Oryctolagus cuniculus: one gene and its partners. The protein of the gene in region 2 interacts with the protein of the main gene of each other region in a biochemical or structural test. Links are inferred from orthologs where the notes say so. Each region holds a gene or a part of one and is shown on either strand. Other genes may lie near its edges.

Region 1 (3,532 bases), on a different chromosome or scaffold from region 2:
GGCCGCGCTACCTCTGCTGCCTGCCGAGGTGAACCAGCGAACCAGCGTAGGCTGGCTGAGCCCCGCGCCACGCCCCTGGGACTTGCTGAGCCTGCTGCTGGCCCTGGGCCAGGCTGCAGGGCTCAGCTGGGGCTGGGGGACAGACAGGAGGCAGCCAGGCAGCAGCCCTGACTCTGAACACATCCAGACGCTCCCTGGACCCCGACACCCCTCTGTCCTGGGCTGCCTGGGAGGAGTAACGCCCCCTCCCCGCAGGCTCCATGGGTGCTTGTGGCCAAGGTGTATAACACGCTCGCTCCCTGGCCATTTCCAGAGAAGCTGGGGGTGTATAGCGTACCCCTGAGTCACCCCCAGCCAGTTCCACAGGAAGTCATTACAGGGAAGAGGTTGGTGACTAAAGGGAAAACTGACACTCTCCCCTTTCCAGCAGTCTGGAACACTGCCCCCCCCCCCCCCAGTTTTCAACCCTGGCCAGCCTGGGGCCAAAGGTCACCAGGGCTGGGCCAGGAGTCTGCTGGGCTGGAGGGGGGTCGGTCCCAAGCAGCCCTGGCTGGGCCAAGGCAGGGGCGAACAGAAACACGGTCACGGTCATCATATACACATCTCTATATTTATATATTAGATACAGGCACGGGGGCGGGCGGGGGCGCCCCCACTCCCGCTCACCCACACACAGAAGCAGCGAGGACGTTAATGTGGCAGCTTTGGGGGGAGGGGCTGAGGCCGGGGTGGGGGGCCCTCTCCTCAGGGATACTAGCCCTTGAGACTCAGGAATGTTCCCCCAGGGAGATGGGGGGGGTAAGGGGGAGGGGGCAGGGTTTGCCCTGAGTCCCTGCTCAGTGTCCCCGCCCCGCCCCGCCCCTCCGGAGGTCCAGAAGGACCAGCCTGGGATAGCCAGGGTAGATGGAGGCAGAGCTGGGGGGAGATCTACTGTGGGGTCGCCCGAGGCCCTCAGGCCCTGGCAGGAGCAGGGGGGAGGGGGCTCTTGGCCTGTCTGAAGCAGGAGCGAGATGGGGCCAGGCCCACACTCCGCCCCAGCCGGGCACAGTGTCCGTTTTCTAACAGTCCGAGCGTAGAGGGGCAGGCAGCAGGCAGGCCCTAAGGGAAAAGGCAGACGGGGGAGGAGCTGTGAGACCCCACGGGGCCTCACGGCCCCCCAGCCCACGTCGGGTCTCCCTGGCCCCTCCACCAGCGGAGTGAGGACAGGGTCCTCTCCCAGGGTGAAGCTACAGGTGAATGAACCCGCGGAGGGCGTGGAGGGCTGGATCGGCCCTGGCTTGGAGAGCACAGCAGCCTCCAGGAAGTGGAAGTGCATGGGCGAGGCGGCTTGCACAATGGCAGCTCTGCGGCGTGGGTCGGCGTGGGTCTGGGTGGGCCCGCCGAGGCCCCCGGGTGTGGGAACGGCTGCCCTGAGTGGTGAGGAGGCACCTGGCTTGGGCCACCTGCTGCGGGGCCCCACCTGTCCATGTGGGCGAGCAGAAGTGTGGGTCAGCTGCCCACAGCGGGGACGGGGCCCCAGGGGCCGCTGTGGGTGCAGTGTAGACAGGTGGGGACTTAAGGGCCTGGGTGGGTCATGAGTCTGGGCACCTTTTGTCACCACCGTACAGGTGGATCAGGGACGCCAGGGCTGGCTCGCAGTCGGTGTGGGGTGAGAGGGCCACTCACCAGGCCCCGGGGACAGGGCTGCCGCGCAGGCTAGGGCCCCTCCGGAGCCCCCGGCTGGAAGCGGGCCGTCTCCTGGAAGATGAGCTCCTTCAGCCGCTCCTTGGGTAGATCATCCAACTCCATGTCGAAGGTGAAGGGCTCCTCGGCCACCGGCTACACAGGCAGAGACAGGAGGGCTCTCGGGCCAGGCCCCGGAAACGCCCACGCCCCCAGGCCCCGGAGACGCCCACACCCCCAGACGGCCCCCCACCACCACCCCACCACCGCTGCCGCCGCCGCCACGGCACCTCGTCCGTCGGGTCATAGTACTGTTCCAGGTAGGGGTGAGCCAGGGCCTCCTCCACAGTGATGCGCTTGTTGGGGTTGAAGGTCAACATCCGATCCAGCAGGTCCAGGGCTGGCAGAGGGCGGGAGTCAGGGCTCACGGAGAAGGCGGAGGGGGGAGGGGCTCCCGGAAGGGGAGGCTCCCTTTGCTTTTCGGCACCCAGGGCCCCGTCCACACAGGCAGGTGCCCGGATCGTGAGCCCCCGTCCCCACTCAAGGTTTATCCTCCCTGGGCGTGGCGTCTCACTCACCTTTGGAGTCTGACTTGGGAAACAGCTTGGCCCAGGCCACCTTGGTCTTGGCAGGCAGGGACTGCAGGTAGTTCCGGGCCTTCATGTTGATGATGCAGTTCAGGTCCTCCTGGGACGGCGAGCCCAGGATGCCTGGGCAGAAGGAAGGCAGGCGACTTGGTGAGACCTCGCCTTCCTCCTCCGTCCTGGGATACAGAGGCAAAGAAGCCCAGACAAGCACCCCCAGCCCAGCCACCTGCCTCACAGTGAGAAGGACAAGGGGTCTGGACCCAGGCAGCCTGGGTTCAAATCCTGGCCCTAGCACTTCTTTAGGTGTGACGGCTCTCGGCCTTGCTTTTCCCATCCACCAAATGGGGATAGTTGTCTCTGCTCACGGAGATGCTGGGAGATGCTGGAGAAGTTCCACAAGTGGTGGTACCCCTGACTCTGACTCTGACCCTGACCCTGAGCCTGAGCCTGAGCCTCCCCCGGGTGGGTCAGGCCCCCTCACCTAGAATGTGGTTGAGCTGGTCCAGGTAGTGCTTGCCAGGGAAGATGGGCCGGTTGGAGAGCATCTCGGCCAGGATGCAGCCCACAGACCAGATGTCGATGGACTTAGTATAGCCCTGGGGATGACAGGAAAACAGTGCTGCACTCCCGAGCCAGCCTCGGCAGGGCCCTGCGGCCTGGGCCAAGCCACCGCTTCCAACCGAGATCCGGGGCAGAGGCCTGGAGAGCCGGTGCTCAGCTTCCTTCCAGAGGCCACGTTGCAGAGGGTGGACTTCCAGAGCCTCGCTCAGGGAGGGTGGCTCCAGGGCCGCCCTGGGGGCCTGAGGCTTTCCCTTCCGGGCTGCCAGGCTTGCCTACCTTGGAGTTGAGCATGATCTCTGGGGCCCGGTACCAGCGCGTGGCCACGTACTCCGTCAGGAAGCCGGTGTGGTCATGTTCAGGGTCTGCAATGCGGGCCAGGCCGAAATCACAGATCTGCAATGAAACCCAGGCTGCTGAACGCAGGGCTCGGGGCCCCTGCAGGCCCGAGCACTCCCACTCCTCCCACAGCTTCGCCGCGGCCAGCCGCGGACCTTAAGGTCGCAGGTGGTGTTGATGAGCAGGTTGGAGGGCTTCAGGTCCCGGTGGAGCACGTTGGCCGAGTGGATGTACTTGAGACCCCGCAGGATCTGGTAGAGGAAGTAGCAGATGTGGTCGTTGCTTAGTTGCTGGCTTTTGAGCAACTTGTACAGGTCTGTCTCCATGAGGTCCTGCACGATGTAGCTGGGAACGGCCCGAGACCCCGCCCCTCCCCCAGGCAGGGG
Region 2 (3,644 bases):
CAAAATAAAAGTCATTATGAGACGTTATGGCAGCAAACAAACAAGAGTCAGAAAGGCTTCCAGGAGGAAGTAAGGTTTAAACAGAGACTGAGACATCTTTGAGGTGAAATGTAAACTTTCTTGGTGCCAATAGGAAAAACAAAAGCCTGGAAGTGAAAAGCAGCAGGACGCATCTCATGACCTACATGCTACATACTATGCTAGCGTAGAGAACGCACACCCTGTGGCCAGCCAAGCAGATAGACTAAGTCATGCAGAGGCCCCACGTCTGGCAAGGTGTCTGAGAATTGCCGAGAGCCACTTAAGGGCCGCCGACATGGGAGTGCTGTGAGAATACATAGATACAGGGTGGAGTTTGACACATGGAGAGGAAAAGAAACCAGGGAGCTTGTCAAGAGACTGTGGCAATCATGGATACAAGAAATGATTTTGTCTTAAGTTGCGGCAGTGAAGAAGGAGAGAGTAGCTGAATTGAAGAGACAAGATATTTGTGTTTGGATATATATGTAAAAGGAGCAGAGTGGCAAACTACGTGTTTTTGTTTCTGTTTTTACCTGGACCAAAACTTAGGAACAACAGACAATGAGGAGATTCAGAAAGGGAGGTGAGTATTGGGTGACTGGAGAACATCCAGGGAGAATGTAATTTGCAAAGACAGGAGAATGCGCTGAGCTGCAAGTTTAAATTTAGGAGTTATCACTGTGTGGATGGCAATCCAAACCAGCAGAGGATATGAAATCTCCTAAGGAGATTATATAGAACAGATTAAGGAGATTGGGAGGAAACAAATCTCAGATCAGAAATATTTTATTAACAAATAATTCTACTTTGCCTTTTACATCAGGGGCCATATAGTACAAATACTTTTAGCCCACTCTATTTGGGGGATCCACATCCATGCATTCAACTACTCACAGCTTGAAAATATTCAGGGGAAAAAATTTGCATCTGTATTAAGCATGTACAGCTTTCTCTTCCTGTCACTATTTTCTTCTTTATAAAATAGATTTCAACAGTTTAAGATGTTATTTTTTATTGGAAAGGCAGCATTAGAGAAAGTGAAGGAAAGAGAGCAATCTTCCATTCACTGTTTCACTTCCCAAATGGTCCCAAAGGCCAGGGGTAGGCCAAGCTGAAGCCAGGAGCCCCAAGACTCATCTTGGTCTCCTCCATGGGTGCAGGGGCTCAAGGACTTAGGATACCCTCTGCTGCTTTCCCAGGCTCACTAGCAGGGAGCTGGATCAGAAGTAGAGCAGCCAGGTGCCAAACCAGTGCCCATGTGGGATGCCTGCATATGAGGCAGAAGCCCAACGTGCTATGCCACGATGCTGGCCCCTTGGCACTATTTTCTAAAGAATGTAGTGTAACAACTATTTACATGGTATTTATATTGTATTGGATATTGTAAGTAACCTAGTGATGATTTAAAGTATATGGGAGGATGGGCATAGTTTCTGCAAATACTACACCATGACTTGAGCATCCTGGGATTTTTTTTATGTCCAAGGGGGACCCAGAATTAGTGCCCCACAGATGCCAAGGGACAACTGTACCCTTATTATGAGAATATTACTGCTTATGTCAAGAATTAAAATTTTTACTGGAGTTGATGTTGGGAATAAAAATGAAAACAAAAGACATGCTCCAAGCATCTAAGCTACATTTGTTGTATGTAAATGTGTTCAATATTCATCCATTATAGACACTGTTCCATATTTATCAACATCTTTTACACTAACTTTTCCACCTGCTTGACTTTAAGATCCTGTCTAAATTCAGAGAGGAAATGGAAAATCAAACTAGCTATTCAGAGAATTCAAGCCAAGAAATACTTTCTCTTTATATGTCAGTGCCACACACATAAAGCAAAGGCATTGTCCGTGATCAGCAGTTGACTTGGGAACGTTCTACATCGGTTGCTTTGCCCTAAGTGACAGAATCTGAATTGTATGGCTTCTCTTGTTTCTGCAGTTCCAGCAACTGTCCAGAGAATCACCGCAACCAATGCATACAGCAGTGATTCCTTAATAATAAGTTGGCAAAAAGCTGTTGGTGTGGCAGAGAGATATGATATCCTGCTTCTGAATGAGAACGGAGCTCTTCTGAGCAACATGTCCGAGCCAGCCAGCGCCAAGCAGCACAAATTTGAAGATCTGACACCCGGCAAGAAATACAAGATACAGATCCTAACTGTGAGTGGAGGACTCTTTAGCAAGGAAGCCCAAACTGAAGGCCGAACAGGTAATTAACACAAATTGATGTTTTCTACTAAATATCTCTGTCTACTATTGTGTAAGAACTGTAGGGTAAGGGGCATGAACAATGTTGAGAGCTGTTATAAGCAACTCTCCATATAGAGAGAAGGTAGAACACTCTATGCCAACAGACTAGCCTGTACAAAGGCCATGAGGTGCGAGAAGAAACAACCAGAACTTGTGGGCAGCTGTAGTGTGTGCGACATGATGGAAAAGTGAGTCCAGCAAGTTGGACTGGGGCCGAGGGCCTTCCTCAGGAGTGTAATTTCCTTTTTTTTTTTTTTTTTTTAATACACATTGAGGAGGCTATAAAAATTTTTCAGCCACAGAGTAAACTTTTTTTAATAAAAACGTGTGCCTTCAAGAAGATAAAACACAGCAGTAGGCATTTGGCCTAACGATTAAGGTGCCAGCATCCCCTATCAGAGAGCCTGGATTTGAATCCCGGCTCTTCTCATTGATTCCAGCTTTCTGTTAGTGCACACCTTGGGAACTGGCAGTGATGGCTCAAGTAATTGGGTCTCTGCTACCCATGTGGAAGACGAGGGTTGAGTTCCCAGCACCTGGCTTCAGCCTGGCCCTGCTCTAGCCATTGCGGGCATTCAGGGAGTGAACCAGTAAGGGGGAATGCACTCCCACTCTCTCTCTGCTTCTCAAATCAGATGGCAGTGGATAACAGATTGAACAGAGAAAGAATCAGACTCAATCATTCATTACTGAATACCTACTATAATCTAGCCACTGTTCTAGAAGCCAGACTGACCAAAATGAATAAAACAAACTTCTGTGGTCATGAAGCTTAGCTACTAGTAGTGTAAAAAGGCAATAAACAAAATAAGTGAAAGATACAGCAGGTAGACAGTAACAAATACCAGGGTAAAAATTAAAGCAGGACAGCAAGTGTTGGGGACTTACCATTTAAGGTAGTACAGTCTTTAAGGAGCTCCTTGAAAAGGTGATAACTGAGTAAAATTCTGCAAGAAGTGATAGAGACAGTCATGCAAATACTTGGGGAAGAGTACCTGCAAGCAGACCAACTGCAAGGCAAAGACTCCAGGTGGGCTGTTGCTAGAGGAAGGGGCCAGAGGCCTGTGTGGCTGGGACAGAGAGAGCAAGGCGACAACAGTCAGAGGATGATAAGCGTCAAAAGCCGAACTACTGTGGGGCCCTAATGAAGAACAGTGTGTATATTCAAGAAATATTTCTGCATTAGATAAGGTGGCACTTGGAGGCTGAGCAGATGATCAATAGAGGTAAGGATTTCAGTTTCCATCCGGGGTATCTGGTAGAAGGTGATGTAATTAATTGAAATAAGAAGCAGGAAGAGGAAGAATCGACGAGACTTCTACAGGGTCTAGTTCTATATTGAGTCAGATATCTCAATGACTT
Region 3 (4,357 bases), on a different chromosome or scaffold from region 2:
GGCGCCGCGGCTCACTAGGCTAATCCTCCGCCTAGCAGCGCCGGCACACCGGGTTCTAGTCCTGGTCAGGGTACCAGATTCTGTCCGGGTTGCCCCTCTTCCAGGCCAGCTCTCTGCTGTGGCCAGGGAGTGCAGTGGAGGATGGCCCAAGTGCTTAGGCCCTGCACCCCATGGGAGACCAGGAGAAGCACCTGGCTCCTGCCATCGGATCAGCGTGGTGCGCCGGCCACAGTGCGCCAGCCATTGGAGGGTGAACCAATGGCAAAGGAAGATCTTTCTCTCTCTGTCTCACTGTCCACTCTGCCTTTAAAAAAAAAAAAAAAAAAAAGGCCAGCGCCGCGACTCAATAGGCTAATCCTCCACCTAGTGGTGCCGGCACACCGGATTCTCGTCCCGATCGGGGCACCGGATTCTGTCCCGGTTGCCCCTCTTCCAGGCCAGCTCTCTGCTGTGGTCAGGGAATGCAGTGAAGGATGGCCCACGTCCTTGGGCCCTGCACCCCATGGGAGACCAGGAGAAGCACCTGGCTCCTGCCATCGGATCAGTGCGGTGCGCCAGCCGCAGCGCGCCGGCCGTGGCGGCCATTGGAGGGTGAACCAACAGCAAAGGAAGACCTTTCTCTCTGTCTGTCTCTCACTGTCCACTCTGCCTGTCAAAAAAAAAAAAAAAAAAAAAGGAAACTCTAACAGGTTCATTAACTTGCCCCAAATCAGATCATCACCAAGTTGAAGATTCAAAATTAAAAGCAAGCTCCCAATACCTGTGATGGTTAGCTTGGCAGATTAAACCACTCATATTCCAGATAACCTGACAAGTTAAATTGTGATCTAACCATCTTAGAACTGAATTTTACACATGGAAAGCTGTAACTGAATAGTGTGACTTACACTGTTACTGGTACCAACACTGCACACTGTTACCATGACTGAACACTGGGCCAGCTAACAATTACCCCATTTGAAAGCCAAGTGCCTCGCAGCAGGAACACACCGTAGGGTAGGCCTTTAAGCACATCACGTGTGTCCTCCAAACCTTATTTTTCTCCTCTAAGGAAATGTTGGGGCCAGTGCAGAGGTGCAGTGGGTTAAGCTTCTGCCTGCAGTGCCTGCATCCCATCCAGACAACCCCAAGTCCTTGGGCCCCTGCACCAGCATGGGAGACCAGGAAGAAGCTCCTGGCTCCTGGCTTCAGATCAGTCCAGTTCCAGCCACTGCAGCCGCCTGGGGAGTGAACCAGATGGAAGACCTCTTTTTATCGCTCTTTCTCTGTCTCTCACTCTGCCAATCAAATAAATCTTAAAAAAAAAAAAAAAATAGAGATGCTATCAACACCAATAAAAACTCCGGATCACGAGAAAAATCCATGCAGAAACATCTACGAAGTCCACAGGATACAGACAGGTGAGTCAGCAGCCCACATTTAAATATCAAGCCCAGAAACAAAATCGGTACAATGAAATTCATCACCGCCCTGGAGGAGGGCAGAGGGGAGAAGGCAGCACCTGGGGAACCCACAGGCCTGGGGCCAGGGTGCACTCCTGACCCCAGCTCCCAGCCAGTGCAGACAGCCCTTGAGCTCAGACCTGGGTCCCCGCCTCCCCCAGCGCGGGCCAGGACTGCGCGCCCGGCTCCTGGCTTCAGCCTGGTGCCGCCGTGGCTGCAGTGGGCTTTGGGGGAGGGAACCCGCACCCCGGAAAGCAGATCCGTCCCCAGGCCCCGCAGCGCCGCCCCATCCGCCCGCTAGGAAACCACGAAGGTGCGGGCGAGCCGCCGGGCCCGCAGAGCCTACGGAGGCGGCCCCGCGCGGAGCCCACACCCCGGGCTGCTCAGGTCCCCACGGCGCCGGCCAGCGCGCGGGCGCGCACAGACCGCTGCGTGCGTGACGGAAACGCGTCCGCCCGAGGCCTCTTCCCCAGAGCGCTGCCCGCAAGGTCGGGCTGGCTCAGCCACCGCGCGGGGGCCGCGGGGCTGGACGCGCAGCAGCTGCAGACAGCCGTGCGCAGGCCCCGCAGCATCCCGCACGAAGCCCCGGGTGTAGACACAGGTGAGGCGGTCTTCCCGGCGTGCGCGGCCGCCGCCGCCCAGCCCGGTCCACGGGGAAAAAGCCCGACCGGCCGCCAGTGCCCGCGCCCCGGGGGCTCACAGGCCGCGTCGCCCCCTGCCGCGGCCGGACCGGGCTGTGCAGGCTGCGGGCGGCTGCGGACCCGCGCTCCGGCCCACGCACACGCCGGCGCCCCGCGGCCGTGGTCCCCCGGGGCGCCGCTGCCGCTGCCGCCGCCGCCGCCCGTCCCCGCAGCCCGGCCTGGCCTCCGTCCCGCACCACCAGAGCTGCGAAACCGCAGGTTTGGGGGTGCCGCGGACCACGCAGCCTCTGTTCCACCTGCCGCGAGGGACACGCCGGGCCCCTACCTGCTCCACCGCAGCCCGGCGCGACCCTACAGCTTTCCCCCGTCGGCGGCGACGGTGAGCACCTGGGCGCGCATCCCCGCACCGGCGCCCCTCCTGGCGCGGCCGAGCCCACCCGGGCCACTTGACAGCTCGAGCCCCGCCTCCCTGCACGCCTATTGGTCCCGTGGGCAGCGCGGGGCGGGGCCGGGAGCGAAACGCTCCTTTCTGATTGGACGGCGGTGGTATCACTCTCAGCGCCGGGGCCGTGTTTGCTGCGGACCAGGGTGGCGGCTTACACCCAGCGGCGCAGGAAGGGTCGGTGCGGTGCTTGGAAGCCAAAGCTGCAGCCTCGGCGTCCCAGGGAGGGGTCAGGCCTCCGGCCAGGCCCCCAGAGGACCGCGGAGCCGGGCGTCCTCGAAGCTACGGGCGGGGGAGGCGGGGGGAAGTGCGGGCCCACGTGTCGCGGCGCGGCCAGAGGACCGAAATTTCTCGAATAAGCCCACGCGCGTCTGCGGGACGCAGGGCGACGGGGCCTCGGCCAGGTGGGACCGCCCGTGCGCGGGTGCGTGCGCCTCCCTCCTGCCCGCAGGCGGGGTCTCCCGCCGCAGTCCGCCGCGCGGGGCGCGCGAGCACGCGTGAGGGCTGCACAGGTGTGGCCGGCTTGGGGCAGCTCTCGCTCCTCTGAGAGCACAGGGAGAGCTCAAAGACGCCGAGGAGATGCAGGGTATGGGAAAAAAAAAAAAAAAAACAACTAGCAGGTGCACGACACATTTCTCGTTCCATGCACATGGGGAGGGGGCCTGGAGGTGATGCAGAGTGGATCTGTGCGGCGAGAACCCGCGGGACACTCACTGAGTCACGTTCCCGCCAAATGCTTACACCTGTGCGGTTACGGCCCGACACCAGCGTGGGATTCGGGGGCCTAGTTGCGAGTTAAGACAGCAGTAGGGAAAGTGGCTTTTCAGCACCATCTTTCAGTCCTAAACATGCATTATTTTGAGTCACATGGAGATCTGGCACCCCAACCTTAAGCTTTAAGCAGAGGAGGTAGCATATCAAAAAACAGCATCGAGACCACAGGAAATGAAATTGGAAAAGGATACTAAAGAAGTCTGCTGTGTCCATGCATTCTTTTATTTAAGATGCATTTTTTCTTTTTTTAAAGATTTATTTATTTATTTGAATGTCAGAGTTACACAGAGAGAAGAGAGGCAGAGAGAGAGAGGTCTTCCATCTGATGGTTCACTCCCCAATTGGCCACAACAGCCAGGGCTGGGGGAGGCTGGGGCCAGGAGCCAGGAGCTGATCCAAGGGCCCAAGGACTTGGGCCATCTTCTGCTGCTTTCCCAGGCACATGAGCAGGGAGCTGGAGCGAAAGTGGAGCTGCCAGGACCCCAAAGGACCCCCATATGGGACGCTGGCTGGCAGGCTGCGGCTTCACCCGACAGGCCATGATGCCAGCCCCTTTTCAGCCCCCTTTCATTCTTACTCATTCCTAAAGCAAATGTCACTGTGATAAGTATAGTGATAAATGAGATGTGCAAGCTCTCCTGCAGCACAAACTTTGTTTTTCAAGCAGACTATATTACTTTGTGTATTTATTGATCTAATTAGCCGCTCTGTGTGCACACACACAACTTGGGAGTAGTAATAGGATAATTTCTCTCTTGATCAGGCACTTCACATATTTTTAGGTAAAACAGACTGTTTCTGGGTCTTTTGTTATTTGTTATTATCTCGGATGCCAGGTTGTGCATCTGTTCCTGGAATACCTACATTCATATTTATATAAATAAATCAAAATACCTGCAACAGAGCACTTTCGTTTTCCAAATCTTTCTGATACAAGCCCCCATGTTCTTACGTAAGCAGAAAAATCACCATTCTGGCCACTTCACACTTGTGGAAATCAAAGTAGACAAAGAAATGTGTCCCTTCCAAAACAAAGGTAGGCAACAATAACAGTGTGT

The links.
Region 1: of the proteins of PTPRB (region 2) and MAPK3, one has a biochemical effect on the other in vitro, tested with the Homo sapiens proteins (2 studies listed by IntAct). The link is inferred for Oryctolagus cuniculus from reciprocal best matches to the Homo sapiens genes PTPRB and MAPK3.
Region 3: the proteins of PTPRB (region 2) and CNTN1 form a complex in vitro, tested with the Homo sapiens proteins (2 studies listed by BioGRID). The link is inferred for Oryctolagus cuniculus from reciprocal best matches to the Homo sapiens genes PTPRB and CNTN1.

What each region holds. Positions count from the first base shown.
Region 1 is NC_091450.1:7,469,045-7,472,576, forward strand, and holds the end of MAPK3 (mitogen-activated protein kinase 3), read right to left. Parts: intron 3,492-3,532; coding exon 3,302-3,491; intron 3,204-3,301; coding exon 3,087-3,203; intron 2,846-3,086; coding exon 2,731-2,845; intron 2,373-2,730; coding exon 2,241-2,372; intron 2,063-2,240; coding exon 1,953-2,062; intron 1,819-1,952; coding exon 1,696-1,818; 3' UTR 1,666-1,695; intron 1,099-1,665; 3' UTR 592-1,098; downstream 1-591. Other genes in the region: lysophospholipase D GDPD3, read right to left, coding at 1-183.
Region 2 is NC_091442.1:73,094,096-73,097,739, reverse strand, and holds part of PTPRB (receptor-type tyrosine-protein phosphatase beta), read left to right. Parts: intron 1-1,971; coding exon 1,972-2,241; intron 2,242-3,644. UniProt on the Homo sapiens protein: Plays an important role in blood vessel remodeling and angiogenesis. Not necessary for the initial formation of blood vessels, but is essential for their maintenance and remodeling. Can induce dephosphorylation of TEK/TIE2, CDH5/VE-cadherin and KDR/VEGFR-2.
Region 3 is NC_091440.1:132,215,797-132,220,153, reverse strand, and holds the start of CNTN1 (contactin-1), read right to left. Parts: upstream 2,908-4,357; 5' UTR 2,409-2,907; intron 1-2,408. UniProt on the Homo sapiens protein: Contactins mediate cell surface interactions during nervous system development.